Linked DNA regions of Tamandua tetradactyla. The protein of the gene in region 1 purifies or fractionates together with the protein of each later gene. This does not show direct contact. Links are inferred from orthologs where the notes say so. Each region holds a gene or a part of one and is shown on either strand. Other genes may lie near its edges.

Region 1 (15,354 bases):
CAAAACACTGTAATACACTCTGTAAAACATTCTTCAAACTGGTCACATGTACTACTAGATTATTTGTTACCCTAATGAAAAATTACCCACTCCACCAGAATTCCCCTCAGCCTCCAACATGTCAATTCTTTACTGAAATGAAAAGAACTGCCAAAAAATAATGTAGAGACTATTACATAACATAAAATTTATTAGGTTATGTAATAAATAAAATTTATTAGTTACAATGATAACTGTTTCTTACTGTGACAGTGGCAATGCATTACAAAATTTTAAATTATTATTATGTTTAAAAATTATCAGAGAGGTCAAGTATATTTCATTCCCTTATATGAAATTATCAGGGGAACAAAAAACACAACTGTCACCAAAACTTCTGTACCATCAATGACCAAGTTAAAGACAGTATTAAGCAGACACTGTAGCCAACTCTTACATTTATATCTTACTTTGTAAGATTCATTATATTAAAATTTAAGGTTTACAAAACTAATAATGTAAGTGAGCATCTATTATATACTAGGCATCGTGTTGGGCTTCAGACTATAAGGATTATAAACCATTAATAAAGCTATTTGAATTTAATATACATAACTACTCTTTATTCTTTCCCCCAGTCTGCTGCTCCCAGAAAACTTCCCATGTCAGTTAGTGGCAATTCCATCTTTTCAGGTGCTGAGGCCAAATCATTTATGACTCCTTTCTTGTCCTCACATCCTACGTCCAATCTATCAGGAAATCATAGTGGCAGTGCCTCCAAAAATATAGCCAGAATCCATCCATTTTTCACTCCCTACACTACTATCACCTTGTCACCACCATATCTCACCTAGATTACTTCAGTGGCCTCTTAACTGATCTCCACATTTCTATTCTTGCTTGCTACTATTTTCAACACACCAGTCAGCTTTTAAGGCCTAATTCCAATCTTGCTAATCCTTGGCCCCAAACTCTTCAACAGCTCTCCCTATTAGAGTGAACACTAAAGTCCTTGGTAGGATGTAAATGACCCTACACTGTATCTGTTTTACTTAGTTTATCTCCTACTACTCTCTTTCCCTAGCTTATCTCATTCTGGCCCTTGGCTTCCTGGTTGTTATCAGAACATGCCAGGCACACTCTTGCCTCAGGACTTTTGCATTGGTCTTTTCTTCTGCCCAAAATACTTTTCCCCAAGGTATTCATGTGATACTTCACCAAAACAGTATCTTTTTGGTACAGCATTCCCTGACTATCCTATTTTTTAAATGCAGCTATTCCTAACAACATTCCCCAATTCCCCACCTCTCTCTGATTTTTCTCCATAGCTCTTATTACCATAAAATATATAACTTACTATTATATTCATATATATTATCTAACTCATCCCACTAGATGTAAATTTTATGAGAACAGGGATTTCTGTCTGTTTTATTCACTGCTAAGTCCCAAGATTCCAGAACTGTACCTGTATATAAGAGGCTTTCAGAAAACATTTGCTGAACAAATCTTATGTACTACTATATTAGAGGAATGCTACAAGAAGACAGGCGAGAAAGCAAACCTCTAGAGTCAGGAAAGGACTAGAGCAGAAGAAATTTAAATCTGATGAGCAGGAACTCTCACTGAAGGCAGTTGAACAAAAGACTGTAATGGATAAGGATACGTATGTGATACGTGTTTTAGGGAGGAACAGCATCAAGCCTGAAGAAAGACTGTTAAAGGCAAATAAGCTTCCTAAAAAACATGTTATTTGACAAAAGGAAAAAACATAATGAGATCTACAGTACAATTTTATATCATCTTAAAAGAAATACAGAGCCCAAACATACTATATATTTTTCAAATATACAAAGTAATAAATATAAAAGTCTTTTTAAGTCCAAAGTACTAAAAAGAACCACAACTTGCAAAACAATAATTTTTATTCCCGACTTTCCTTCTTTCTATCTCTGGTTTTATGGTCTTTTTTGGCCAAGTCAAAATAACTTATTTCCTTCCTTCTTTCTACCCACTTTGTATTTCTTCTCTTTTCTCAAAGTAGTGAGGGTCAATTTCCTGTACAATCAGTCTACACAGGATGCCTTCACTTAAACACCATCTTAACCACCATACCAATACCAAAGAAAAAGAATTTTCTCATCCTAATGTTTTTTGAGGCTTGTTTAATATATGTGTTTGAACATATATTAAAGCATAAAGAATTAAAGAACTAAATGGAAGAGAGCAAGCTAGGGAAAATGGGCAAAAAAAAAAAAAAAAAAGACAGCCCAAGGGAAGAATAAGCAAATGTCATGGTATTACCAAGAAGGTCTTATGCTCCTTTCTTCATTCTAGGCTTCAGACAGTCTCGTGATTCAGATGGATTATGCCCACAACTGTCTAGACTAGAAATGTATTATTTTTGAACACAGTAAAGTTGCTAATATATATTGGTATCTTAAATAGAGAATGAGTTAATCTTTCATTTAAATACTTAAATAGAGGTAGACCAAAGAAGACTTAAATAAGAAAATAGAAGACCATGAGTTTCACTATGGCACAGCAGAAACTTGGAGCAGAAACACATTATGATTATCAAGAAAAGGTACAGAAATAGCTTGTAAGAAGTAAATTATCAGGATTAAACAAGTTAAAATCCAAAATAATAAAACTTGAACTCAAATTCAGAGAATTCCTTAATGTTTAATTTTATTAAAGACACTTTTACTAGTCATTCAATAACTATTATCAGTTTAGCCAGAAATCTGTCACACAGAAATTGGATAAATTAATATATAAAATTTTCAATTTAGGCATTTTCAATTATTTTACAGACATCTTGTCAGAATTCTACTTTATCTGATTACAACATTCTCTTAGAAGTTACTAATATTTTTACCTGTTAAAAACTATGTAAGGTAATTAGATAAATTATTCAACAGTTTTTAATGTGGTTTAAGTTCTTCACATCAAGCCATACGTATCTTTTGGGGGAGGGGTACTGGTATTTAAAATTATATATTTTTATTGAGAAATATATACACACACAGTCCAGTTATACCGCATATTCAATGGCTCACAATATCATCACTTAGTTGTGTTTTCTTCACCATAATAATTTTTAGAATGTTTACATCACTTCAGAAAAAAAAAAAAAAAGTACTCATACATCCCATATCCCTTACTCTACCTCTCATTGACCCATAGTATTTCAATCTACCCAATTTTTAGCCTTTATCTCCCCCTTTTATTTATTTGTTATCCTTATTTATTTTTTATTCATCTGTACAGACCCTGGATAAAAGAAGCATCAGATACAGGGTTTTCACAATCACATAGTCACACTGTAAAAGCTGTACGTTTATACAGTCTTTTTTCATAATCAAAGCTACTCGAACACAGTTCAACAGTTCAGGTACTTCCCTCCAAGCCACGCCAACACACCATAAACTAAAAAGCGTTATGTATATAATGTGTAAGAATAACCTCCAGGATAATCTCTCAACTCTGTTTGAAATCTCTCAGCCACTGAAACTTTATTTTGTCTCATTTCTCTCTTCCCCCTTTTTGTCAAGAAGGCTTTCTCAATCCCTTGATGCTGGGTCCCGGCTTATCCCGGGGAGTCATGTCCTACATAGGGGGAAGCTATACACATCTTAATGCATTAAAATACTGTATATTATACATTCTTTCATTCAATAAGTATTCATTGAGATCATACTACAAATACCAAGAAAAAAGCACATGAACCGTCACTGATCAACAATGAAGATAACAATAGTAAAGATTAATTTTAAAAAATCTCCATTCACACTTGATTTCTGTGGTTACTTATCTTCCCCCCAAACAATCACCTCTGAACGATACCTGTGAAGTTGGGTAAAGCAGATTCTGAGGCCTCACTGCAGAGACAGCAAAGAGTTATATCCTCATCTCTGTCATAACCATTATGTGGAAGCAGGACTGTCCCAAGGATCATACCTCTTCCCAGAAGTAAAAAGTTCAAGTGTCCTATGTAATGAGGAAGTCTTAGAATTCCACCCTCTGACAAGCAATACCACATGCATGTGACAGTTACTCATGCATTTCAGCAGCCAGAAGAAACCAATCAAGGGGAAAGTATTGCATCTCCCAAAGTGGGTGGAGAATGAATGACCTAAAGGGAAATGTCTAGTAATAGCAAAAGATCGAGTCACAATAGAGTTATTTATTTATTTTTTACATGGGCAGGCTCCTGGAATTGAACCCGGGTCCTCTGGCATCACAGGCAAGCATTCCTGCCTGCTAAGCCACCGTGGCCAGCCCACAATAGAGTTATTTTAAGAACTATGGGAATATTCAAAATAAAGCAAAAAGCAAAACATGAGTAATAAATAGTTTAATAATAAAACAATCTGGGATTAGTTCATACAGTTGGGTATTCATTCCTAAGCAGATGATTAGGTGAGACTGCTGAGAAAAGTTTTCTTGGAGAAAAACCATTACTATAAAACAACGAATATACTTTTAAAAGAAAGGAAATGCCGAGCAACACTCACTTTTTATGTCAATTATATTAGCTCAAGAAACCACAAATCCAAAACCAAAGAAAGAGTTAAGATATGATTCACAACCACAGAAGCCCGGACATGATAGCCTTTGCTAAAATTTTGGCACTACAGCTTAATAAAGGTTAAAAACATGGCATGATAGTGTTAACTACTTTTCAGTATTAATAATTTAAAAAGTAAATGTCTGATCTTTGTTAATATATAGGAACAAAGTTAAATAAAGTCGAAGAACCTGAATATGAGAATACCTTATAAGAATTAAAATTTACAAATAGTAGATGTCATTAATGTTATGACCTAGAAATATAATGCCAAGAAGTGTTTGTGACTGTTTAGCTGAGAATATCCACTGATTCAGTAAATATTACACATCTACTATGTACCAGATTGATTCAATAAATATTTATTAAACATCTTACAGTACCAGGCATTGTTCTAGATCCTAGGCTAATCAAGATAACAGGGTAAATTTCAGAAAGTCAAGACTGAAATAGTACTCAATAAAACAGAAGCATAAAATTGTAATATAACTTGACTAGGGAAGAATGAATTTGATATAATTAGTTGATGGTTAACTTCTGGTGTCAACTTAACCAGCTGATGGAGCCCAATTGTCTGGTCAGGCAAGTACTAGCCTAATCGTTATTGCAAGAATATTCCATGTCTGGTTGATAAACCAGAAGGCTGGTTTATTTAATCATCAGTTAGTTGATTGCATTTGTGACTGATTACACCCACGATCAACTAACGGTGTGCCTCCCACAAATGAAACAACCCAAACAGTTGGATTTGATTCAATCAGTTGAAGACTTTTAAAGGAGAAAAGAGAATTTTCACTGCTTCTTCAAAGCCAGCCAGCCAACTTCTCCTATAGAGTTCGTCAAGACCTTCAATGGAGTTGCCAGTCTCACTGTCTGCCCCTTTTGGACTCTTGCATTTCTGTGGTGGCATGAGATATTTTATAAATCTTGTATTCACAGGTATCTTCTGTTGGTTCTGTTTCTCTAGAGACTCATAATACATTAGGCTTTTTTTTTTTCCAAAGCTAATACTTTCAACAAAATTAACTTTAAAAGACTGCTACCGGGCAGGCCACGGTGGCTCAGCAGGCAGAGTTCTTCGCCTGCCATGCCAGAGACCCAGGTTCAATTCCTGGTGCCTGCCCATTCCAAAAAAAAAAAAAAAAAAGACTAGGACTGTCATCCACCTGAGGAAAGCAAAAATTAAATGACTAAAGTAGTAAGTCAGAATTTCAAACAACATATTGAATTTCTCCTTCCCTGGATTACAAAAATGTAAAGGGAATGTTTCTATCAGCTTTATTTGTAATAACCAAAAAGTGGAAACGACCCAGATGTCCTTCAGCTGGTGAAATGTTCAACAAACTGCATACCTAAACCATGGAATTCTACTCAGCAACAAAAAGAGAATAAACTATCGATACAAGCAACAACCTGAATCAAACTTTAATGGAGTATACTGAGTGAAAATAGCCAATCTCCCCAAATTAAAAGCCATATGATTCCATCTATATAACATTCTTGAAATGATAAAATTATAGAAATAGAAACCAGACTAGTGATTGCCAGGGGTTAAAAAGCTGGTGGGTGGGGCAGAAGAAGAAGGGGGTCATGTCTAGGGCAACAGGAGGGATCATTGTGGTGATGGAAATGTTCTGTGTTTTGACTAACAATGTCAATAACTTGGTTGTGATACTGTACTGTAGTTTTATAAGAGTTGCGTTAAAATGTGGGGAAAGCAGAGTAAAGGGATTTCCCGCTAACACTTCTTGCAACAGCAAATAAATCAAAATAGTCTCAAAAGTTTAAAGAAATTACAATATCCAAAATATACAAAGAACCCTTAAAACTCAACAAGAAAATAAACAACCCAATTAAAAATGGGCAAAATGATCTAAACAGACATCTCACCAAAAAAGATTCACAGGTAGCAAATAAGCATATGAAAAGATACTTAACATCATATGTCATTGGAGAACTGCAAATTAAAATAACAATACCAAATACTGATATGGCTGTGAGGCAACAGGACCTCTGATTCACTGCTGGTGGGGATGCCAAATAGTACAGCCAATTCACAAGACAGTTTGACAGTTTCTTACAAAGCTAAATATAGTCTTACCATATAATAATACAGTGAGCCACCCTTAAAAATTGCCTCAAGTGAATTGAAAACTTATGTCCATATGAATCAAGCACATGTGATAAAGGGGGAAAATTCAACTTCTCCAAATGGAGAATTCTTGATATTCTCACAAGCAGTGGGGACAACCAAAGCAATAGGCTGAGCCCCCAATCTTGGAGTTTGTTCATATGAAACTTAACCCTGCAAAGGATAGGCTAAACCTACTTAAAATTAGGCCTAAGAGTCACCCCCGAAAGAAACTCTTCTGTTGCTCAGATGTGGCCTCTCTCTCTCAGCCAACATGACAAGCAAACTCACTGCCCTCCCCCTCTCTACATGAGACATGACTCGCAGGGGTGTGGACCTTTCTGGCAACGTGGGACAGAAATCCTAGAATGAGCTGGAACTCAGCACCAAGGGATTGAGAAAACCTTCTCGACCAACAGGGGGAACGGCAAAATGAGACAAAGCAAAGTGTCAATGGCTGAGAAATTGCAAACAGTCAAGAGGTTATCCTGCAGATTATTCTTACGCATTATACAGATATCACCTTTTTAGTTAAGGTGTAGTGGAGAAGCTGGAGTGAACTACCTGAAAATGTAGAGCTGTGCTCCAGTGACCATGTTTCTTGAAGATGATTGTATAATGACACAGATTTTGCAATGTGATTGTGTGATTGTGAAAACCTTGTGTCTGGTGTTCCTTTTATCTACCTCATCGACAGACGAGTAAAATGTATAGATTAAAAATAAATAATAGGGGGAACAAATGTTAAAATAAATTTAGTAGATTGAAATGCTAGTGATCAATGAAAGGGGGGGTTAAGGGGTAGGTACATATGAATTTTTCTGTTTTATTTTTCTAAATTGATGCAAATGTTCTAAAAAATGATCATGATGATGAATATACAACTATGTGATGAAAGAAAAGAATGTTCATATTGTATGTTGATTGGTTTTATTAATAAAAAATTTTTAAAAAGGTGAATGGATACATTGTGATACATCCATACAATGGGATACTATTAGCAATAAAAAAATGAGGGTGCACAGGTGGTTCAGTGATAGAATGCTCACCTTTCATGTGGGAGACCCAGGTTCGATTTCCAGACCATAAACCCAGGAAAAAAAAAAAAAAAAAAAAAGAAATGAGCTATCAAGTCACAAAAAAGACATAGGAATCTTAAACTTACATTGCTTCGTGAAAGAAGGCAGTCTGAAAAGGCTACATACTATTTGATTCCAATGTTATGACATTCTGGAAAAGGCAAAAATATAGAAAAAGTAAAAAGATCAGTGGCTGCCAGGGCTTTGGGGTGCGGAAGAAGGAGGAAGGGATGAATATGTAGAACACAGGCCACTTCTAGGGCAGTGAAACTATTCTTATTGATATTGTAAATTCTATACATAACATTACACATTTGTCAAAACCCATAGAACTGTACTACACAAAGAGTGAACCCTAACATAAACTATGGACTTTAGTTAATAGGGGTATCAACATTGGTTCAATTGCAACAAATGTACCATACTAATAGAAAATGTTAATGGAGAAATTGTGTGCAAGAGACAGGATTACATGGGAACTCTCTATACTAACTGCTCAATTTTCTATAAACCTAGAACTGTTATAAAAATAGTTTTATTAACTTCAAAGAAAGAAATTATAGACAAAAAACCTCCCTTAATCCCATAGTTCCCTCCAAATCTTTCCTGAACTGCAAACTCATATGCAATTGCCTCATCAACATCTCTTCTTTTCTATTCAATCAAAGTTTCATATATTCAAAACTTGAAGTACTGACGTCCTGTTCCCCAAAGTCTATTCCCCCTCAGTAAATGGCAATTCCATTCTTGCAGTTACTTGGCCAAAAACCTCGCACTCATCTTTCAGTCCTCTCTTACATTCATACCTACATTTAATCCATCAGCAAATCCTGAAGGATCTACCTTCAAAATTTATCTTGACTTCAACTACTGCATACCATTTCCACAGCTACTTTCACAGTCTAAGCCACTTTCGCCTACATTACTGCAATATACCCTTAATTGGTCTCCCTCTTTTGGCTCTGGCCTCCTTCAGTCTATTTTCAACATAGCGACTAGAGAGACTCTTAAATCCTAAATTATATTACTCTGCTCAAAACCCTCCATTGGTTTCCCATTTTGCTCAGAATAAAATTCAGATTTTACTATTTTCTACTAGGCCTTCCATTCAATCCCTTTCTGAAATCATCTCTGGCAACACTCTCTCCTGGCTAGTCACTGGAAACCTTGCTTCAGGGACATTACATTTATTTTTACCTTTGCCTGGAATGCTCTTCCTGCAGATTTCCACATAACTTAGCTCCTGTGTCATTTATCACTTTATTGCTTCTTTATTACATGTTCTGTGATAATGGGTGAAATTCCTTTAAGCATTATTCCTTTACAGTGAGCATAATGTTAAGCTCTCTCTGTTAGAGGAGTCTAGACGGACAATGGAGAAGGAAGGAGCTTTCCTACTGTTTCTGGCAGCTGCAGCATTGGTCAGCAGTGTGGATGAGGCTATCTAGCCTCAGGTTAAGCTGCCCTAGCCATGTACTCAGAAGACATGGTGGTTTCCTTGGCAACCTTGTCACTGGCCTCACTCAATGTGGACATCCCATGATCCAGGCTTCCTGTCTACATAAGGACCCAAATTCGCCTACTCCCATAAATTATTCTCTCATAACCCTCCTGATTCTGAATTCTGACATGAACATCCTGTAGTCCATGCCTTGTGTCTGTCCAGCTTCCCAACTTTTTCCTCCTTACCAGCATCTACTGGAGTTTGTTTTCAGCTTCCCTCCTGATACCACAGCCCTCCCCATGATGAACACCATGCATTCTGGGCCCCCCACCCATACTGGTATTTCCATGTCCACCGCACACTGTGTGCCTGGCAACCAGCTATGGCTCACCTGCACCTCAGAGGATTACTTTTTACCTGCCAAATGACTGTTTACCAGAATATCTGAACCAAGCAAACATTCAACTTCTCACCCATCAAGTGGGCTGCAATGACACCTTCTCCAATAAGGTCTGAAATCCCCAGGGAGGGATCCCTTTTTCAACTTTGTCTTAGCTTGGGTACTCTACCCCAGCCTTAGAGCAGCATCATATAGAGTTCTCTTATAGCTTTTGATTCTTCTTTTATCATGGCTTAGTAATTATTTTTAAATCACTGAGTTGTTTCTGACTCCTAATTAAACCCAGACTGATACAGTTCCTTTGTTCCTGCAGGGCTGACAGGCATATATAAATAGCAAATCTCCTCCCACTGTACTCTCTGTTCTTTTTTCTCTGCTTTGTTTTTCTCTACCTGATATATATTTATTTGCTTAATGTGTCTTCTCCCACTAGAATGCAAACTCCATGATGGCAAGGCCAGACAAATAGAAAGCATTCAAATACGTGGTGAATAATGAATAAAAAGCTCCAATTTAAATTTTTTTCCACCTTGGGTACTTAATGTAGACTCCCACAAATCTTCATACTTTTCACATAATTTTTTACCTACCTTTTGCTCCCCGGAGGAGAAAAGTTTTGTTTTGTTTTATTTTGGGGGGGGCAGGGGGGAGGAGGGTAGCAAAGAGCTGTACAGGCACTAAACAGGGCTTTGGAGCCAAGTGCACCAGTTGAATCATAAGCTCAAGGACAATGAGACTATATTTGGAGTTCCATCTAAAGTCTTTGGTGTAACCATTAGTAGAGTCAATTTTCAATCATCTGGTGACAGGGTAATTGGTTTATGGATTAATCAGAATGGAGGGGAAGTGCATCTGCAAAGAAATTTAAGTTATTATGAATTAACAAAAACATCTATTTATAAAAAAGATGACTTCCTTTGAATTACATAGTAACCAGTAGAGGCCACACAGCCTCTAATGGAATATGATAAAAGCCTTCTCCCTTGGTCATCAATCATTCATTCATCCAACAAACACATATTATATTATCTACAATATACCAAGTACTACAATAATACTGTCGTCCTCAGAGATAGCAGTTAGCCACACATCAGAAGCAAAGAGAAGAACATATCCAGGCAGGTTCAAATATCCTAAAGAGACATTTGTTGCAGGAGACAACTGACAAACAAAGGGAAAAGAGAAGTAAGTAAGCAAGCAGTAAGCACTAGGCTCAATCCAGGCCTTATTCTAATACTGGATAGAAGGACAGTTCAGCCAAGAAGCCTACAGTGTTAACAGAATATTTTAAAAGAGGGTAACGTTTGTATTGGCAAAGTCCCTTTAGGGATGGGACAAAGACTATGGAACTAATAAACTTTATCATCAGGGAATCCCCTGATACTGTGTCAAACTTCAGGGACACCCAAATCAATAGGCCAAGCCCTTGATCATGAGGCTTACTCTTGTGAAGGTCATGCAGGTAGCAGAGAAGCTTAGCCTACCTATAGGCATGACTAAGAGTTACTTCTGGAGGACCTCTTTTGTTGCTCAGATGTGGCCTCTCTCTCTCTAAGCCCAACTCTGCAAGTGAAATCATTGCCCTCCCCACTACAGTGGGACATGACATCCAGGGGCAAAAGTCTCCCTGGTGGCATGGAAGAGGACTCCCAGGGATGAATCCAGACCTGGCTCCATGGGATCAACAATTACATCCTGACCAAAAGGGGAAGAAGAAGTATAATTAATAAAGTATCAGTGGCAGAGAGAGTTCAAATAGTGTCGAGAGGTTACTTTGGAGGTTGCTCTTACGCAAGCTTCAGGTAGACCTTGCTACCTATCATAACCTGCCAACCCCCAACCAGGACCATTCCAGCCAATCCTAAAGAACATCTAGGGCAATATATAAGATTCCAAGGGTTCCAGGCACTAGGATAACTTTCCAGAAACCTACAACCTCCAGAAAGGTCCTTGATCCGGATAAGTCCTAAAACCTAGCCCAGCCTCTCTAGAACATCAGATAGTTACACCTCCTTACTCCATTTAGTGACAGACCATTCCAATATGAAAAATTTTAAATCGCATAGCCCAAACACCCCTAAAAAGAGGGATGGAAAGATCAAAGGTGATGGTGGAGTTATACAGAGAAGACAGGATTTAACAAATGAATATGAATATTGAATCATTAAATTGATATCTCTTTTAGTCTCCAATATTTTAGAGTAGCTAGAAGTAAAAACCTAAAATTGTAGAACTGTAACCCATGTTAAACTCTGAGATATGTTCTGCAGCTAACTGTCCTGTGCTTTGAAATTTATAGCTTTTTTATACATGTTATTATGCATTTAAAAAAGGAATAAAAGTCAATTTGTGATGATTAAAAAATATTTAAACCTTCTAACCTCCTATATTCTGTAGCAGCCAGAAGGAAAAAACTAAGAGGATCGTATGGTAGACCATGACAAACTCTGTGATCTGTCCTGTAACTACTTGGTGAAGAGCGCTTCGAAAACTATTGCTTTTTTATTTCTTTGCTTTGCAGATATGTTATACTATACAATAAAAAAAATTAAAGAAGAAAAAAGAGGGCGACTTTTTTCCCTGCAACAGATGATGTTCATTCATCTTAAACTCTTGCACTGATGTTATTTTTGTAGTCTGAGGTGACATCTATAAATCAGTGAATGTGTTCTTAAATATTAGGTAAATAATTTGCTCTAGTTTGCTAGCTGCCAGTTTTCTGGCTTTTAAACGGCTTTTAAAAAGGGGAATTTAATAAATTTACAGTTTAACAGTTTACACAGTTCTAAGGCTGTGAAATTGTCCAAATTAAAACAATTTTATAGAAATATCCAATTAAGGCATCCAGGGAAAGATACCTTGGTTCAAGAAGGCCAATGATGTTCAGTGTTTTTCACGCTCAGCGGGAAGGGCACATGGCGAACATCTGCTAGCTTTCTCTCCAGGCTTCTTGGGTTTTCATTCTTCATCTCCAAAGGTTGCTGGCTGGTGAACTCTGTGGTTCTCTTGTCCTTCTGTGAGGGATCTGCAGCACTCTCCCTGCTCTCAAAAAGGAACTCTCTCCAAAATGTCTCCTCTTCTTACAGGATTCCAGCAAACTAATCAAGACCCAAATAGAATGGGTAGAGATACATCTCCATCTAATTAAGTTTAATACCCACAATTGATTCACATCTCCATGGAAATAACCTAATCAAATTTCCAGCCTATAGTGCTGAATAATGATTAGACGAAACAGCTGCTCTCACAACACTGATTAGTATTAAAACATGGCTTTTCTAGGGTACATAAAATTATGTATTGGTTTGAAAGGATTTATCTAAGTAAATTCACATTAAAAACATTTTGTTTTTGTTTTAACATCTTTATCTGCACTTTTCTCACTTATCTTCTTACCAAGCTTACCCTACCTAGGAAACTGAAAGTTGCTATTTGTGGTGCTTACAGAAAAACTAATAAAATCTATCACAAAACGAAACTGAAAATAGCATCATCTTTGTTTTTTTTTTTGTAGATGCTAACCATGACAATTATTTATACTGTCAACAACAGATATCACTATTTTCAGCTTTCTTTTAAGCACAGATCTGATACAATTGAGTGGAAAAATGTAGATTCTACATTTTCTACTTCATGGAATAAATCCTCTGGGTGAATCACCTTATATTTCAGAATGAGAGGCATTAGTTTAAATAAATTTATTTCAATTAGAATTTTTAGCCCCCTTACTTCATAGCTACATTCTAAAATCGGTTTCAATTTAATCTGGAAATCCAACTGCCAGTTTTACAAGGCATAAGTATTAGATAGTGTTCTAGTTTGCTAACTGCCGGAATGCAATACACCAGAGACAGATTGGCTTTTAATAAAAGGGGATTTATTTCGTTAGTTCTTCAGAGGAAAGGCAGCTAACTTTCAGCTGAGGTTCTTTCTTACGTGGGAAGGCACAGGACGATCTCTGCTGGCCTTCTCTCCAGACCTCTTTGGGTTCCAACAACTTTCCCCGGGGTGATATCTTTCTGCACCTCCAAAGGCCTGTGCTGAGCTGCGAGTGCTGAGATGAGGTATGCTGAGCTGCTTGCGCTGTGCTACCTTGCACTCTCATTTAAGCACCAGCCAATTAAACATCATTCACTGCAGCCGGCATGCCTCCTAGCTGAGTGGAGATATCATCAGCAACAGATGAGGTTCACATGCCACTGGCTCTTGTCCACAGCAACAGAACCAGGTGCCTTCACCTGGCCAAGTTGACAACTGAATCTAACTACCACAGATAAGTTGTCCTTTCCTTCTATTCAACAGGAACAGCAAATGCGCCCAAGGTTGTGCATAAATTACTTCAACAAAAATCATTTCTCCTGTTATCTTATTTCAAGCTTCTGCACCTTCTCTCATCCCTCTCCCAGTATTCCAAGTTTTGATATCTTCAAGTTACTGTTCAGTGCCTCCAGAAGGTCTTGGAAAAGGAAAACTCATAGAACACTTGGTTCTAAAATACCTAAATCCCTCACTTCAACATCAAGCGTACACTACTCATTCAGGATAGAAACGTTCAGCTTTGTAAAAGGGCAGATATGTATTCTTTTCATTCAATTAAAAAAATAGGCAAGGATAAATGAAAATGTTTCTTTTCATATGCATTTAGCTTCATCTAAAATAAGGTTCAGCAAACTTTATCTGTGAAGGGTCAAATAGCAAATATTTTTAGGCTTTGCAATACATATGGTTTCTGTCATACCTGCTCAACTCTGCCATTGTTTGAGGAAAGCAGAGACAAAGGCATTATGTAAACAAACAAGCTGACCTGTGCCACAATAAAACTTAACTGATGAACACTGAAATTTGAATTTCACATAGTAATATTGTTCTTTTAATTTTTTTCAACCATTAAAAATGTAAAACCGGGCGGGCCATGGTGGCTCAGCAGGTAAGAGTGCTTGCCTGCCATGCCCGAGGACCCGGGTTCGATTCCCGGTGCCTGCCCATGTAAATAAAATAAAATAAAATAAATAAATAAAAAATAAAAATCTAAAACCATTCTTAGGGTTGCGAGCCACACACACAGACAGACAGTGGGTCAAATTCGGCCTACAGGCTGTAGTTTGCCAGCTCCTGATTTAGAACAGGGGATAAAATTGTATTATCCTTAAGTTCTATCCTCAGACCAAAAAATTTATCTCTGGTTCTCCCGTTAATCATCACTTCCTCTGGTGACACACCATGGCATACTTCAGTGCCTTGAAAGAAAATAGTTTAATTATAATTCAAATTGCAAATTACCCAATCTTAACCCCTATGCTACTGAACAAAATAGGCGTAGAATAATAGAAATATTTTTACTTTGGATTATGAACAAACACGAATAAATGTCAATAAAAAGCTTAGCATCTTACATATCAGTGAAAGAATTCCTGAACAGAAGAAAATATAAGTTCTAGTCAGTCCTAGGTATTCTACTACTCTACAGGGCTGTACTGGGTAGGTTACTTAACAGTTTTGGCCTTAGTTTTCTCATCTGTTATTTTATCAAACTAAGAGAACTCAAGGTGCTGGTGAGCTCACCCATTCGGTGAACTTATGGACCTCTGAAGATATGTAAATACTTGGCAATCTGTAATCAAAATTAAGTGTGCCATTATAATATGCCATTATAATATGTAATAATATTACATTATTAAAATCATGTCATGACACCAAATTCCCAACTAAAACTGTAAAACTGAGCTTATTAGTAGTAGGATGTCACTG
Region 2 (15,345 bases), on another chromosome or scaffold:
GCTAGGGTGGCTCAGCCCGGGATCAATTATGCGCTGGGCACGAACGTCTCATACCCCAATAACCTGCTGAGAAATCTGGCCCGCGAGGGAGCCAACTATGCCCTGGTGATCGACGTGGACATGGTGCCCAGCGAGGGGCTGTGGAGAGGCCTGCGGGAACTGCTGGATCAGAGCAAGCAGTGGGCAGGCACGGCACTGGTGGTGCCTGCCTTTGAGATCCGCCGAGCCCGCCGCATGCCCACTAGCAAAAACGAACTGCTGCAGCTCTACCAGGTGGGCGAGGTGCGGCCCTTCTATTATGGGCTGTGCACACCCTGCCAGGCGCCCACCAACTACTCCCGCTGGGTCAACCTGCCCGAGGAGAGTCTGCTGAGGCCTGCCTACGTGGTGCCCTGGCAGGACCCCTGGGAGCCATTCTATGTGGCCGGAGGCAAGGTGCCCACATTCGACGAGCGTTTTCGGCAGTACGGCTTCAATCGGATCAGCCAGGTGCTCAAGAGGGAGAGGGTGGTGGAGATGGGGCAGCAGGAGTGGTGGAGTAGGAGAGGTGGGAGGTGTAGCTCTGGGTGGAAAGGCGGCAACGAAGTAAAAGGGTCACAGGTCAGAAAGTGGTTGATGATGTGAAAGATTAGGATGTCCCCGAAGGCCTGAGTGTGGCTGTAGGGACGTCAGTCGTGGCCCCAGGAATGTCTCCAAACCTTGCTGACCTGTCTCTTCCCCCACTCCCACAGGCCTGCGAGCTGCACGTGGCAGGGTTCGATTTCGAGGTGCTGAACGAAGGTTTCCTGGTTCATAAGGGCTTCAAACAAGCTTTGAAATTCCATCCCCAGAAGGAGGTCGAAAATCAGCACAATAAGATCCTTTACCGCCAGTTCAAACAGGAGTTGAAGGCCAAGTACCCCAGCTCCCCCCGTCGCTGCTGAGCCCTTCCCTCCCCTAGTCTGAGAAGTCTTAGCCTCCTGGCTCCTCAGGCCACCCCTTAGGCCTGACTGGGGTAAGAAATGGCACTCAACCTTACAGAGGTAGCTGTGGTATTGGAACACTGGACTTGAATATGGGGTGCTGGGATCGAGTCCTAGCTTTACCACTAACTAGCTGTGTGGCCTTGAGCAGATCCCATTATCTCTCTCTGAGCCTCAGTTACCCCGTCTGTAAAAAGGGAGGTGAGAATACCTACCTCACAGAACTGTTGGGAGGCTCAGATGAGACGCTACATGTGAAAACATTCTGTAAGCTTCGTACAAATGTGAAGTATTATTAATATTACAGTATTATTATTGTTATCGCTATTGTTATTATTAACAATCTGGGGGGCGGATGTGGGTGGGAGGAGAGCAAAAAGTAGGAATGGGACAGAGCTGACATGAGGAGAACAGTACTTAACGAAATGGGCTTTGGGGAAAGAAATCAGATGAAGGCACTGAATCTGGTTTCAAGCTTTTGGATCGAAGCCCAAACTCCCTGGTTGTCCTAGGCCTGCGCCCTCGGGACTTTAGAGGAGGGAACAGTCTGGCGGTTTGGGGGCGATATTCTGGGGAGAGCTGTACCTTCGAATAAGCTGGTGCTGGGTATTTGCCTACCGATGACAATTTGTAAATAAATGAGTGTTCACACCCACAGCTGGCTCCGTTACTCTCCTGAGCTGGAAGGGGTCCCGGGTTCGCCGGGGCGGAGGCCGCGGATTGAGGGGCGCCGGCTGCAAAGCCAGGGAAACCACAAAAGGCCTTGTTCACCAGCACAGGGACCCTGTGAACCTCCGCCGGTTGCCTTGGTGACCGGCCCGCAGTATCCCAGCGTGCCTTGCCCCGCAGCTGTCCAATTGTGAGCTCCCTTGGTGGGCGCCTCCCGATGACGCACACGGAAGCGCCGACAGACCCCGCCTCCCGGAGGAGAGAGACCGGCGCAGTGCTTCCGGGGGCCTCGCGGCGGCGGTCGGTACCAACGGCCTCCGGCGCCTCTCGGGGAGTGTCGGACTTGAGGCCGAAGGCCGCAGCCACTGCGGTGCGTATCGCTGCCCTCGGCGCCTGGTTCGGCCTCTCCGGCCCGTCGGGTGGAACCGACCCAATCTCCTCCTCCCGCCCGAAGCAGAGACTTAACCGGCCGGACGCGTGAGGGGCCGCGGGGACGAGGCCGGCTGCTGGGCAGCTCGCGCTTCTCCGGCTCGCACCCGCGCTTTCTGCGGAGGGCCGGGGCCCGAGGCTCCCGGGCCTCTGCGGAGGTGCTGGGTTGGCTTCTGCGAGGGTGGGGAGGGGCTTGCCTTCCAGGGCTGTCTGCTCTCGGGGAGCTCATGGTCTGCAAAGATAAATTGCTTGTGCACAGGAGTGTTACAGTTTGCTTTGCCATCACTTTGTCTTCATCCCTTACCCTCTTAGTATCTGCATACACTCAGTAGGAATCCCCTTTTTGCCAAAGGGGCAAGGAGGGGAGGTCATAATTTAGTCCATTCACGGTCAGAGACAGCTGAAGGAGAGACGCCCTGCCCAACCCACACCACCCTACCCCACCCTACTTCACCCCACCCTACCCTACACACCTCATTCCCGTCCCCACCGGTGTGCAAGAGGTAGATTTACACTGAGAGTAAATATATTTGACATATTTTTGACATTAATTTGATATATACAATTAAAATGAATTGTAGATGGACAAGACTGCAGGAACTGAAGCTCGGGAATGGGAAAGGTGAGGCTGGTCGAGGTAGACAAAAAACGAAGATTCCCTTTCTGCTAAGGTGGTTTTCAGGTCCTGTTCAGATCATTGGTGAAATCACTGAAGAGAGTGACTAAACTCTTCCTTAGGCCAGGCATTTTACACTACTTGAATCAGTGTCAACAGAAGGTAACAGAACACTTTAGATTTGTTGACACTGCAAGGGCCCGGATCTACTGAGATGTGAAACCAATCTTTGCCCCGCAAAAGTTGGTTTGTTTAATTCTTTTTTTGTTAATCCTCCATTCATCAGGTGAACTAGTATTATGCTAGGTGAGTAAGCTGCACGTGCAGCCCCAGCCCTGGTGAGGCTCACAGACTGGGGAGGCAGACATGAGAATGGGCAAACAGAGGACATGCAAGCAAAGAAGTCTTCCTGGAGGGAGTGGCATCTATGCTGATCTAAACGATTACAAGCAGTATGGAGAGAAGTTAGAAAAACATCATAGTGAAATAGAAACCTCCAGGAGGCAATGAGATTATCTGCTCAGAGGACTAAGTCCTCTTCAGTAATCTTCAGGCTGGATTTGTTACTTTGTCAACCACTCCTGAAATTCTCTCTCTCTCTTTGACTTTGGGTTTTTCTCCACTGTCTCTGTCTAATTGCCTTCTTCTTTGCAGGGATCTTCTCATCTTCCCCTTTGGCAATCCTGGGAGTTCCACATAGGTCCCTTCTCACTCCACAGAATCTTCTCTGGCACTATCTCCCATGGCCTGAAGAATACACTAATACGCTGGTGGCCAGATCTCTTTGCAGCTCAGTTTTCTCTCTAGGGTTTTGACCATGTACCCCCATCCCTGCCCCTCCTCTCATTGCTGGGTCTCTGCACATAATCCTCAGTCTATCTGGAATGTTCCCTCCTTCCACCAGCTCAGCTCATCCAAGTCAGTCTTCCCCAGGAAGCCTGTACTGCTGTGCCAAGCTCCAGATCCCCATTAGATGCTCCTCCATTTGCCTTTGGTCTTCTCACACCATAGTACTTGGGTGCTTCTTTGCCTCTGTCTCCCAGGAACTCATAAGTGCCTCAGGGTCAAAGATTGTATCTTTCACAGTTGGGCCCTCGCACCTGCCATAGTGTCTCATGGTACCTGGCGTATATTAGGTATAGGTGCTAAGTAAATATTAGATGAGTGACTAAAAGATGAAATGCTTGTCAATGTGCAACGTTGCCTAGAAGACAATCAAGATAAGCACTGAAAAATGTTGGCATTAGCCACAAGGTAGGTCGTTGGTTAACTCCGTTTCAGCAGAGAGCAGGAGGTACAGAGACTGATGGGAATAAATGGAGCATGAGAGAGTAGGAATAGCAAGTGCACTTAAGGCCCTGAAAAACATAGCTGTAGGGTAGTGGAAGACAAAGACCGGTTAAATGGGATGAGGAAAGTTTTTATGTTTTTGCTTTTTTCCAATGGTGGAAAATACCGAGCATAGCTAAAGTTTTATGGGAAGGAGCCGGCCACCAGGGAACAGTGGAAGATACAGGAGAGAAAGGGACAGCGATGACATGAGGTCCTGGAGGAAGCAAAGGAGGTGGGAGTTGACCCAGAGCACAGTGAAAAGACAAGAAAACTGTAGAAGGTTATCAGGAAAAGGAGGGCATTAGGGGCAGAAGGAACAGCTCAGGCAGGGAAGAAGTACATGGGAAGTTTGAGGACTGGTCAGTAGACATTTGGGGCGAGAGAGCTGGATGGTTGGCTCAAATCCAGCCTGAAGGGCTTTCAAGAAAGCCCCAATCAGAAGTTTGGTCCCAGTCCCATAGGCAGTGGGGAGCCCTCAAACTTTTTTGAAAGGAAAAGGCAACTTGTCTGACATCCTGCTGGGTACTATGTATCTACATCCTCATAAGGATCCCAGGAAGGACAACTTAGTATCCCAGGGTCACCCTTAACATTGTAACGGAGGTGTTTTTCTGTGTTGTCATGTCTGCTTTTTTTCAGGCTACCTCCCAGCCTACCCAGCTTTCCCCCAATGGCTGCAAATACCAATAAGGCTGCCCTGAGCACTGTCATGCCCTTGGCCTTTCCCATCTCACAGATCATTTCCTTGGATGGTATTCCCAGGATTGGGATCACCAACAATGCCCAAGGGCATAAGTGTATCCATGGCTTCCGGGCTTTTGGGACATAGGGCCAGGCGGTACCCTTCCTGCCTGCTGGGACTCCCTGGCTGTCCCTTCTGATTAAGTGTCAGGCCACTCTACCACTCCAAGCTGCGGGCAGTAGTAAGTGATGGCTCCGCTCCTTCCCCCAGAGTCCAGATGCCCGTCCAGCCTCCGAGCAAAGACACAGAGGAGATGGAAGCAGAGGGCGACTCGGCCGCCGAGATGAACGGGGAGGAGGAAGAGAGTGAGGAGGAAAGGAGCGGCAGCCAGACGGAGTCAGAGGAGGAGAGCTCCGGTGAGTCCCACTTTCCCCCACCACATGCGCACCCCTCCTTGCTGCTCTTCAGAGCCAACCCTGCCCAGCCTCTTGTCCTCAGAGATGGACGACGAGGACTGCGAACGCCGCCGGAGCGAGTGTGTGAACGAGATGCTAGACCTGGAGAAGCAGTTCTCAGAGCTAAAGGAGAAGTGAGTCCGGAAACACCTGGGGCTGGGTCTTGGGGGCCCCTGGGCTGAGGAGGCAGTGGGCCTGGTGCTGGGCAGGGTGTCCGGGGTCCAGAGTGCGTGAGCTCCTAACACCAGGCCCTCCGGGAGCGGGTGCTTGGCACGTGTTTGCCCAAGAGTGGTAGACAGATAGCTACATGGCTGCCTTTCTTTTTTCTTTTTACCTCCCAGGTTGTTCAGGGAACGACTGAGCCAGCTACGGTTGCGGCTGGAAGAAGTGGGGGCCGAGAGAGCCCCCGAGTACACAGAGCCTCTTGGGGGGCTGCAGCGGAGCCTCAAGATTCGCATTCAGGTGGCAGGTCCGTGGGCCATCCTGTGCCCCTCCTCCCTCCTCCCAGCTCTGTGCTCCCAGCCCTTCTCCTCGGGCACCCAGGGTCCTGATCAAGCAGGACCCCCTTTCTCCTTCCCTGTGCAGGGATCTATAAGGGCTTCTGTTTGGACGTGATCAGGAATAAGTATGAGTGTGAGCTGCAGGGAGCCAAACAGCACCTGGAGGTGAGGGCACTGGGTGCAGGGTGGTAGGTGAGGCCAGGGATTGCCCCCCACCCCCACCCCCCGACTGAGCTGCCCTTGCCTCTCCCAGAGTGAGAAGCTTCTGCTCTATGACACCCTTCAGGGGGAGCTGCAGGAGCGGATCCAGAGGCTGGAGGAGGACCGCCAGAGTCTGGACATCAGCTCCGGTGAGTGTCTCACCCAGCTCTGGACCTCAGCTTTCCTGACTGCTTGTGGGGATGAGGACAGAGCTGCTGCTTGGAGTCATAGTGAGGACTGACTGACTGAGACCTGGCATGCAGAGGGCTTGATTCTGTGCCTGCCACGCAGCAGGGCCCAGGAACAGGGTTCCTTTGCCCTCCTGCGCCCTGTTCTCCTGCAGGAACGAGGTGTTGGTTGGACATGCCCACATGTATGGTAACCACAGTTCCCCCACTTCCACATTCGCACTTCATGTCCATTGCTCTGCCAGTAGGCTTCTTGGGGGTGGGGGACTCCTGAGGAGGCAGGAATTGTCATTGCCCCACTGTCCACGGAGCAAGTGAAGAAACCAAAGCTCACGAAAGTGCAGTGACCTCTCCCAGGGCTGCACAGCTGTGCAGTTGGGGCCTGAACTCAGGCTTCCGACCCCAAGCCCAGGCTTCCACGCATGGCCCTGGGTGATGGTGGGTGGGGAAGGGAGGAGAGGCTGGGCTGGCTCTACAAGCGTGGGGACGGCCTGTGAGGGCCAACACCTGTGACTGATCCTGGGTCTGGGGGCTCAGAGTGGTGGGATGACAAGCTGCACGCCAGGGGCAGCTCAAGGACCTGGGACTCCCTGCCACCCAGCAAGAGGAAGAAGGCACCTCTCGTCTCTGGTATCCTTCCCCCAAGGTGGCCTGAGACTGGGTGGGGGATCAGTGTCAGCACCAGACCCCAGGGGTGGGGGGATGGAGGTGACACGAAGGGCAGGGTTGGACTAGAGACATTCGCGGTCGTTGGGTGTCATGTGACCATATCCCAGCAGATCCAGCTGTCAGAAATTTATTGTGGGGCCGTGGGTCTCTCCTAGGCTCTGTGGACCATAGATAGAAACATCAGTTTAATGACGCCCCATGACTTCTGGGTGAGGTTTGGCCTCTGGGCCCATCTGTGCTTTCCATGATTTCTCCCAAGCCACTCAGTTGCCCCAGAGCATGTTCCAGGCTCTCCCGCGTCTGTGCCTTTGCTTGTGCTCCACCCTCCGACTGTGCCTTCACAGCTGTCCCTACCTGTTCGGTGCTTATCTCAAGTGTCACCTCTTCCGTGAGCCAACTGGGCTGCCCACCTCCCACATGGGAGGAGTTGTCTCTGCCTTCCCTGCCTTGGGCCTGAGCCCCTCCAATCCAAGGCCTGCCCTGTCTCCACCCCCGGGACCCTCCTGGTATATCCCAGCAGAATTATGTTGAATTATCTTTGCCACCTCTGAGGGCATTTCTGAAGGAACTAGATTCTTGGGTCCTGGTCACTTTGGTGATGGAGAGCAGATGCAGGCAGCTGGGAGCACACTAAGGCATGAATGGACTGTGAGGGCATGGGGATGTCAAATGCAGAGCACAGGTGGTCACGGGGCGGGGGGTAAGGTGTGGGTAGTGGACAGTCCCCAGAGGGAAATGTGATGCCCAGGGTTGGGAGACCTCCACATCTGTTCTTGGTAGAGAAAGGGCCAGGAGAGGGAACAGTTTATGCCACAGGAAGGGAGGGAATAGAAGGAGCAAGGGGGGTGGGGTGCACCTTGGACTCAGGCCTTGAGACTGGATGAAGGTGAGGGTGAGCCGAGGGGAGGTAGGCAGTGAGGTCCTTGTGAGGGCCAGGGGTGGGGTCTCATGGTGGGAGGTGAGACCTGACCACAAACCCAGGTTCACAACTGTCCGGTCTCACGCTGCCCTCTCTCAAGCACTGGGTTGGTGCCCCAGTCCCCCCGCCCCACCCCCCCACCCATCCCCTGCAACCCCGCTCGGCTCCTGCTTCCTTGACTCCTGTCGCAGGCCCTTACATCGTGTATATGCTGCAGGAAATCGACATTCTAGAGGACTGGACTGCTATCAAAAAGGTAGGGGGTCCCTACTGTCCCCCACCCCAGCCCCATCACAGGGCAGTGTGAGACCTCTCTCAGATACCAAAGTTGGGCTTGTCTCTGTAGAGACAGGGTTCTCTGCCACCCAGGTTTCTTATCATCCTTGGCAGACAGACGTTCTCCCTTTGCCTGAGACGGTCTTTTTAGCCTGCCAGCCCCTTCTGGTTGCAGGGCAGGTTCCGATGGGGTGGGGGGACAGGGAGGGAAGGGTGGCAGGCTCCTGGAGGGCGTCTGGGCTGGCTGGGTATCTGAAAACAGACATCAGGGCTTTGCTTGGAAAGGGTCTTAAGCTCCCCACCCCTCTCAAAGCACAGCTGATCCAGCAGCCCCCCACTTCCATGGAGGTTGATATGGGGGGACGGTCCTTGCCAAGCTGGAGGCAGGCTCTCAGAGGGGCTTTTCTTCTTGCTCATCCAGGCTAGGGCAGCTGTGTCCCCTCAGAAGAGAAAATCGGATGGTAAGAACCATGGAGGCTACACTTCCTCCCGTCCCCCTTGTCCCCTTACTGTCACCTCTTCTAGCCCCACCTCCAGAAGGGAGTCCTGAGAGAAGCAGTGGACCTGTCAGAATCATCATGGCCCAAGACAGAAAGAATGATCTAGACCTGGGGGTGGAGTGAGCATTTGGGCTGCAGGAACCTGGGGTGGGAGCTTTGGGTTGCTGGGGCGGGGGAGGCTGACCAGCGAGGTTGGGTCAGTGTGGGCCTGAAGGCTGGGGGGAGTTCCTGGGCAGAGGGCTGAATCCAGAGCCCCGGTGCAGCTCAGGCTGGGGAGCAGCCCCAGAGCCAAAGCCATACCCCGAGCCCGCATGTGAGGTGGCCCTCCCTGGTGGCTCCCCACAGTGACTGTCCCCTTCCCATATGCCCCCAGGACCGTGACCCTCTGTTCACCACCACGGGGTCCCTCGGCGTGGCCAGCACCAAACCCAAGATTCCCCTGCGGAAGGGTGGGCTGACAAGCCCCTCTGGGTCCACCTGACAGCCCAGCTGGCCCCCCGTTGTGGCTGCTGGGGCCTCACCCCTGGCGGTCACTTGTCTGGACTCTTCCTCCGCCGCCTCCTCAGGGGTCTGCACGGCAGTAGACGTGGAGCTGACCTGGGCAGCCAAGATGTCTTCCCTGTTCCCGACCGGCCCACTGTCTCCCCCTCCCAAAGATCAGCCGTCTCCATGCCTCCCAGACAAAGAACCCTTGCCTCATTTTAAGCCAAAGCAACTTCCCCTTCCTGTGACCCTGGATTCCAGCTCTCCAGAACTGAGGGAAGGAGCTAGGCCCCACTGCATGGGAACTTTAAATCGTAACTTATGACTGGGGGGCCCATCTGCCCTGGCTGAGCTGGAGGTGGAAAGCCAGGCTTCCCAGCTTCTCTCAGGGCGTCTTTTCATGTCTGCCTCCTAGGTGGTAGGGACTGGAATTAAAACCTTTCCTGGGACTCTGGCATGGCCTGTGTGTATGTCTGATTCACCTGGCAAGGGAATCAGGGCTCCCGTGGGGAGCCACCTGGGACAGGCAGACCCTCCTCGGGTCCCTGGGATGTGGCACCTCTCCCCACTACCCAGCAGGAGCCTGTACCTCTGAGCTGGGTGGGGGGCCGGTACTTCTTAGCACAGTCTGAAGCAACATGTGGCCCAGGTAGAGCACGTGGCGAGCATACGGGTGCTCAGGGCTTGGGGGCTGGGTCATGTCTGCACCTGCCCGGGTTGCTTGGCAGATTGGCAAGGCAGGCTGGCAGGGCCTGTGCGTGGGAGGCAGCCGGCAGCAGCGCCGTGTGCTGACGACCTCACAGCCAGACTCCCCCCGGTTTAGCGCTGAGTGTTAGAACCACCCCCAGCACCTCAGTTAAGCAAAGGGGTTCGTTTCCATGGCGACATGGCATCTTTTCTCCATGGCAACCTGAAATCCCAAAGTCCAGGTTAGGCTCAGGGATGAGTCATCCGTAACCAATAGGGGGCGCTCGCCCACAAGGCTGACCCTAAGGCCTCGGAGGAAAAAAAAAGGATCAGTTGACCACAGACTTAAAGGTGTTCCCAGGGCGAGGCTTGGGCCCCCAGGGCCTGAGGCAAGCCCTGCTTAACCCTTTCCCCGCAAGCCGTGATGAACTCCTTCCCGCCCAGGGGTGTGGCTTGAGGCCAGGGAGGCAGTGGGAAGCACTGGCGGCAGCAACCCCAAAACTGGTATCCGCAGTGAGGTGCAGGCAGGAAGGGGATCCCAGGCCCCTGAGGCTGTGCCCAGAGCAGAAGCAGCAGAATGGACACACAAGAGTTAACTGGCGGGTGTGACCGGGCGCCCCGCCCTCAGGAAGTGTTACTCACCGCCGGGAATGTGAGTGTCCTCGCCTGGGGGGCTGGATTCGCTTCCCGAGTCCCAGGAGAAGCTAAGGCGCTCCCAGCCATGGACAGCCCCGGAGAGCCGGGCGCAGGCCCTGGCAGAGACCCCAGCCCGTCCAGCTCTGCTCCCAGGCACCTGGAGATAGAAAAGTTAGTGAAGTTGGAGGGGTAGCCAGGTGGGACGGGGAGGGAGGGCAGGAAAGGGTCCGTCCGGGGGCTGGAGAAGGGCTGAGCCTGGTCTTTGGGGCTAGGGAGGGTTGGACAAGGGTCCCAGCCCCCGGCACCCTGCCCAGGTCCGGCTGCCCGCCCGCAGGCCAGCCCGCGACCTGCTGTATGATGTACCCGGCGCCGGCGGAAGGCAGGTGGGTGAGCCCCAGCGGCCGGGCCGCGCCGTGAGCCTGCGGGAGCGCCTGCTGCTCACCCGGCCCGTGTGGCTGCAGCTGCGGGCCAACGCAGCGGCCGCTCTGCACGTGCTGAGGACCCAGCCCCCCGGGGTGAGTCTTGCCCGCGGCCTGCGGGGCCTGGCCAGTGGGAGGGCAGGGTGGGGGTGGGAGAGGCCAGACACCGTGGTCCGGAGCTGCACCCCCCACCCCCAACTCCCGTCCACCCGCAGACGTTCCTGGTGCGGAAATCCAACACCCGCCAGTGCCAGACCCTGTGTGTGCGGCTGCCGGAGGCCGGCGGGCCCTCCTTCGTCTCTAGCCACTACATCCAGGAGAGCCCCCGGGGTGAGAGGGGCTGGCTTGGAGGGAAGGGGGCTGGGGCGGGCCAGCTGGGGGACACCCAGAGAACGCCCCAACTTCCGGTGACTCCCAGGCGTCTCCTTGGAGGGCTCGGAGCTCGTGTTCCCGGACCTGGTCCAGCTCATCTGCGGCTACTGCCACACCCGGTGAGTGTCCACAGGGCACCTGCCAATCTAGGGTCCCTGGGGTCCCTGCTTCTTCCATCTTCCCCCACCCCGCTGGCCCCTCCCAGGACCCCCGTGGCCCCAGGGATCCCCTCACTCTGGACTTTCTGCTCCCTCTTTCGGTCCCAGAGATGTCCTCCTCCTCCCGCTCCAGCTCCCCAGAGCCATCCGCCAGGCAGCCACCCACAAGGAGCTGGAGGCCATCTCCCATCTGGGCGTCGGTAAGGGCCCCCTGCCAGCCCTGCCGAGAGGGGAAGGGAGAGCCATGCGGCCACCCACCCGGAAGTCATGCCTCCCCCTGGGTCGGGCGCCCTCCCCTCCCCGGTTCCTGAGGCCCCCCCCACTTGGTTTCTCCCCCCTAGAGTTCTGGAGCTCCCCCCTCAATGTCAGGGCCCCACAGGATCCCCCTGAAGGCCCGCTGCTGCCCCTGCTGAAGCCCCGGTCCCCTCAAGAGCTGGACCAGGGCACTGGAGCTGCCCTGTGCTTCTTCAACCCCCTGTTCCCAGGGGACCTGGGCCCCACGAAGCGTGAGAAATTCAAGAGGAGCTTCAAAGTACGCGTGTCCACGGAGACCTCCAGCCCCCTGTCTCCCCCAGCTGGGCCGCCGCCCCCGGTCCCCGTGCTGCCCAAGGCAGCCCCGGACCAGACCGAGAGGCTGCCCCCTCACGGGCTGCTGCGCCGGGAGAGCTCCGTGGGGTACCGCGTGCCGTGGAGTGCTGGCCCCAGCCTCCCGCCCCTGCCCTCCCTCCAGGAGGTGGACTGCTGCTCCCCTAGCAGCTCGGAGGAGGAGGAGGGGGCGGCGCCAGCATCCCGGCGCAGCTCAGGGTCCTCGCCCTGCTTGGGCCGCCGCCGCCGGCCCCTGTTGCGGTCCATGAGCGCCGCCTTCTGCTCGCTGCTGGCACCCGAGCGGCAGGTGGGCCGGGCGGCCGGGTCGCTGGTGCAAGACAGACACACGGCCGTGGGCCAGCTGGTGCAGGACCTGCTGACTCAGGTGCGGGCCAGGCCCGAGCCCCAGGAGCTGCAGGCCGTCCGCGAGGCGCTGAGCCAGGCGCGGGCCATGCTGAGCGCCGAGCTGGGCCCCGAGAAGCTGCTGCCTCCGGAGAGGCTGGGTAAGACCCCAGCTCCCCGACCCTGCCTTCCCTCACCACAATTCCAGCCAGTCCCCACTCGATGCTCTCATCTTCCCGCAGTTCCAGCCTAACTCCTTGCGCCTGTTGCTTTACAAACCCACCTCGTCTCAGCATCACTCGAGTGACTCGGTCCGTCCCTTCTCCCTCCTCTCTCCCATCCCACCCCGATTCCTCCACCTTCCATCCCCTCTTCCCGCCCAGTCCTGGCCCTTCTCCCCAGGACTCTGCCCCCAGCCGCAGGGCCTGAGGCCTGAGCCCTGACTGGCTCTCCATCCTCAGAGCACATTCTGGAGAAGTCCCTGCACCGCTCCGTGCTCAAGCCCCTCCGGCCCCTCCTGGCAGCCCGCCTGCGGAGCCGGTTCTCCGCCAACGGCTCCCTGGGCTGCCTCGCCGAGGGCCTGCGCCTGGCCCGGGCCCAGGGCCCCGGAGCCTTCGGGTCCCACCTGTGCCTTCCCTCCCCGGTGGAGACGGAGCAGGTGCGCCAGAAGCTGCTGCAGCTGCTTCGCGCCTACTCGCCCAGCGCCAAGGTCAAGCGGCTCCTGCAGGCCTGCAAGCTGCTCTACACGGCGCTGCAGGCCCAGGCGGGTACGTCCACACCCCTGCCCCCCACACCCCTGCCCCCCGCGGGCCCCCTGCACAGTCAGACGCAGGCATCTCAAAGAGAGGCACCAGGACCCAGGAATGGCGCAGTAGGGGAGAATCAGTCCGATCCTCCATCTTACACATGGAGAAACTGAGGCCCAGATGACAGAGCAGCCTCTCCACATAGTTGTGGGCTGGCAGGCAGAGGGGAGGGGTCGCTGGCCAAGACACGCTGTGGGCCCTGACCCTAGGCCTGGGGGACCCTGAAACCGCCTCTGCCACACGTCCCCGCAGGGGAAGGCGCTGGTGCCGACGAGTTCCTGCCACTACTGAGCCTGGTCCTGGCCCAGTGTGACCTCCCAGAGCTGCTCCTGGAGGCCGAGTACATGTCAGAGCTGCTGGAGCCCACCCTGCTCACCGGAGAGGGTGAGGGGGCCTGACCTTCCTATCTGGGTGGGACGAGGGTGTCTTCGCTGCTCTCTGGGCCTGGGTGAGCAGGGAACGGGGAGAGGGAGGCAGTCGTTTCCCCCCCCCCCCCCCATGCCCAGCCTGACCCACACTCTTCCCCGTGGCGTCCCAGGCGGCTACTACCTGACCAGCCTCTCGGCCAGCCTGACCCTGCTGAGCAGCCTGCACCAGGCCAAGGCCGTGCGCCTCAGCCCCTCCCAGGAGCTGCAGCGCTCCCTCAGCCTCTGGGAGCAGCGCCGCCTGCCGGCCACCCACAGCCTCCAGGTAACAGGGCCACCCCCACCCCTGTCTGCCCCAAACTGCCCAGGCCCAGGAAACTCTGGCATCATCGGGTCCAGGCCCCTCCTTTCCCAGTGAGACACAGCAAGGGGAGGGGGTCCCAGCCACAACCAACAGCAAAGCCGCGCTTTGCGGGGGGAGTGTATTCCATGTGCTCTCAGGGCTCTGGGGCCATCATTTCCAGAATCTTCACATCCGCCGTGAAATAGGACTGTCATTATACCAGTTTTACAGATGAGGAAACTGAGACGTGACGCAGAGAGGGAAGGAACACGGATGGCAGGCGCAGGCCCAGACCCCTGGCCCCAGCCCCCAGCCGGGGCTTCTGCCCATGCTTACCTTGCCCTCCCGTCTAGGCTCGGCCTTGGGCATCCTTGGAGCCAGACCCAGCCTTATCCTTCTCCCTCCTCTCCCTCCTCTCAAGGGCACCGCCCTAGTCTTGGCTAAAAGTCCAGACTCTGTAGCCTGAGCCTGGTTTCAAATCCCAATTCTGCCTCTTCCCGGCTGTGGAATCTTGGGCAAGCCCGGAACCTCTTTGAGCCTCAATTTTCTCATCTGTAAAATGGGATAATAGTACCTACTAATGTAGGTTAATATAGTACAAGTGCTGAGAATGCTGCCTGGTGCTGGGCAGCTACCAAGGGTCCCTTATTGTTGGGCTAAGATCCCCGTCAGGGCCGTCCTTTTTTGGCAGCCCTGTGACCCATTGGCCCAAGCACATCTCTCCCTCCCTCCAAGCCTCCCTGGCAAATCACCTTGTCCAGAAAGCTCTGGGCAATTAGTCCCACCACCTGATATATAGCCCCACCCTCACCCTACACAGCTGCACTGGGGGTAGAGGTTTTGGAGCCAGCTATGCCAGGCAGGGTTGAGGATTTGTTTTTTGTGTGTCCTCGGCATAGCGCCTTCTCCGAGTCGCCTATCAGGACCCCAGCAACGGCTGCACCTCCAAGACCCTGGCCGTGCCCCCAGGAGCCTCGATTGCCACCCTCACCCGCCTCTGTGCCTCCAAGTTCCGAGTGACCCAGCCCGACACCTTCGGCCTCTTCCTGTACAAGGAGCAGGGTTACCACCGCCTGCCCCCTGGAGCCCTGGCCCACAGACTTCCCCCAGCTGGTTACCTTGTCTACTGCCAGGCAGAGCGGCCCGAGACCCTGGGGGCCTCCCCAGAGGAGGGCAGTGGGGGGCCAGGTGAAGGGAGCAGGGAGCAGGAGAAAGAAAGCCAAGGCGATGGAGACAGTGGGGTCAAAGCTAGCCCCAGGGACAAGGAGGAAGAGGCTGAGACAGCTGCTGAGGGGGACGAGCATCAGGCCAGAGGAGACCCTGTTCAGCCAGGGGAGCCAGAGGCTGAGGGAAGCCTGGTGGCAGAGGAGTAGCTGGGAGGTGGCCAGAAGCATCCTATGGGCCGGAGACTCTTGGAGCCTGCCAGGAAGGCCTTTCAGTTCCACCAGCCCAGGCTACCACCTCCACGGCCCCCTCCCCTGCCCTCTCCTCTGCTGCTGTCTGGTATTCATCTCTGTGACCCCACCTGCTTGGGAGCTTCTGGGTTGGCCACATCTGGGGGATTGGAGTAAAGTGGAGGGGGATTGTGGGACCCCAGACCAAGCGCCCAAGGCCTCTTGGCTCTTGTCCTCCCCCAGCTGGAGGCCAGCCAGCCTGTAGCGGTGAGTGTCCCCAACAGGGGTCAGATCCAACTGATGCCAACTTCTGGCAATAGAGAAGGGTTTGGTTCCAGCTCTCTTTGCAACCCCCCT

The links.
Region 2: the proteins of ABL2 (region 1) and RIN1 purify together in Homo sapiens (co-immunoprecipitation; 3 studies listed by BioGRID and IntAct, counting the BioPlex papers as one, with this or other methods). This does not show direct contact. The link is inferred for Tamandua tetradactyla from reciprocal best matches to the Homo sapiens genes ABL2 and RIN1.

The regions. Positions count from the first base shown.
Region 1 is NC_135330.1:33,420,076-33,435,429, forward strand, and holds the start of ABL2 (tyrosine-protein kinase ABL2), read right to left. Parts: upstream 7,745-15,354; 5' UTR 4,025-7,744; coding exon 3,829-4,024; intron 1-3,828. UniProt on the Homo sapiens protein: Non-receptor tyrosine-protein kinase that plays an ABL1-overlapping role in key processes linked to cell growth and survival such as cytoskeleton remodeling in response to extracellular stimuli, cell motility and adhesion and receptor endocytosis.
Region 2 is NC_135335.1:8,076,611-8,091,955, forward strand, and holds the start of RIN1 (ras and Rab interactor 1), read left to right. Parts: upstream 1-9,889; 5' UTR 9,890-10,145; coding exon 10,146-10,375; intron 10,376-10,538; coding exon 10,539-10,719; intron 10,720-10,838; coding exon 10,839-10,953; intron 10,954-11,041; coding exon 11,042-11,114; intron 11,115-11,261; coding exon 11,262-11,353; intron 11,354-11,494; coding exon 11,495-12,241; intron 12,242-12,541; coding exon 12,542-12,847; intron 12,848-13,138; coding exon 13,139-13,270; intron 13,271-13,424; coding exon 13,425-13,576; intron 13,577-14,493; coding exon 14,494-14,967; 3' UTR 14,968-15,345. Other genes in the region: uncharacterized protein LOC143645511, read right to left, coding at 1,548-2,270, 3,683-3,793; B4GAT1 (beta-1,4-glucuronyltransferase 1), read left to right, coding at 1-489, 732-923; BRMS1 (breast cancer metastasis-suppressor 1), read left to right, coding at 4,968-5,106, 5,189-5,279, 5,487-5,614, 5,731-5,810, 5,899-5,995, 6,572-6,664, 7,814-7,878, 8,320-8,359 and 1 more. UniProt on the Homo sapiens protein: Ras effector protein, which may serve as an inhibitory modulator of neuronal plasticity in aversive memory formation. Can affect Ras signaling at different levels. First, by competing with RAF1 protein for binding to activated Ras.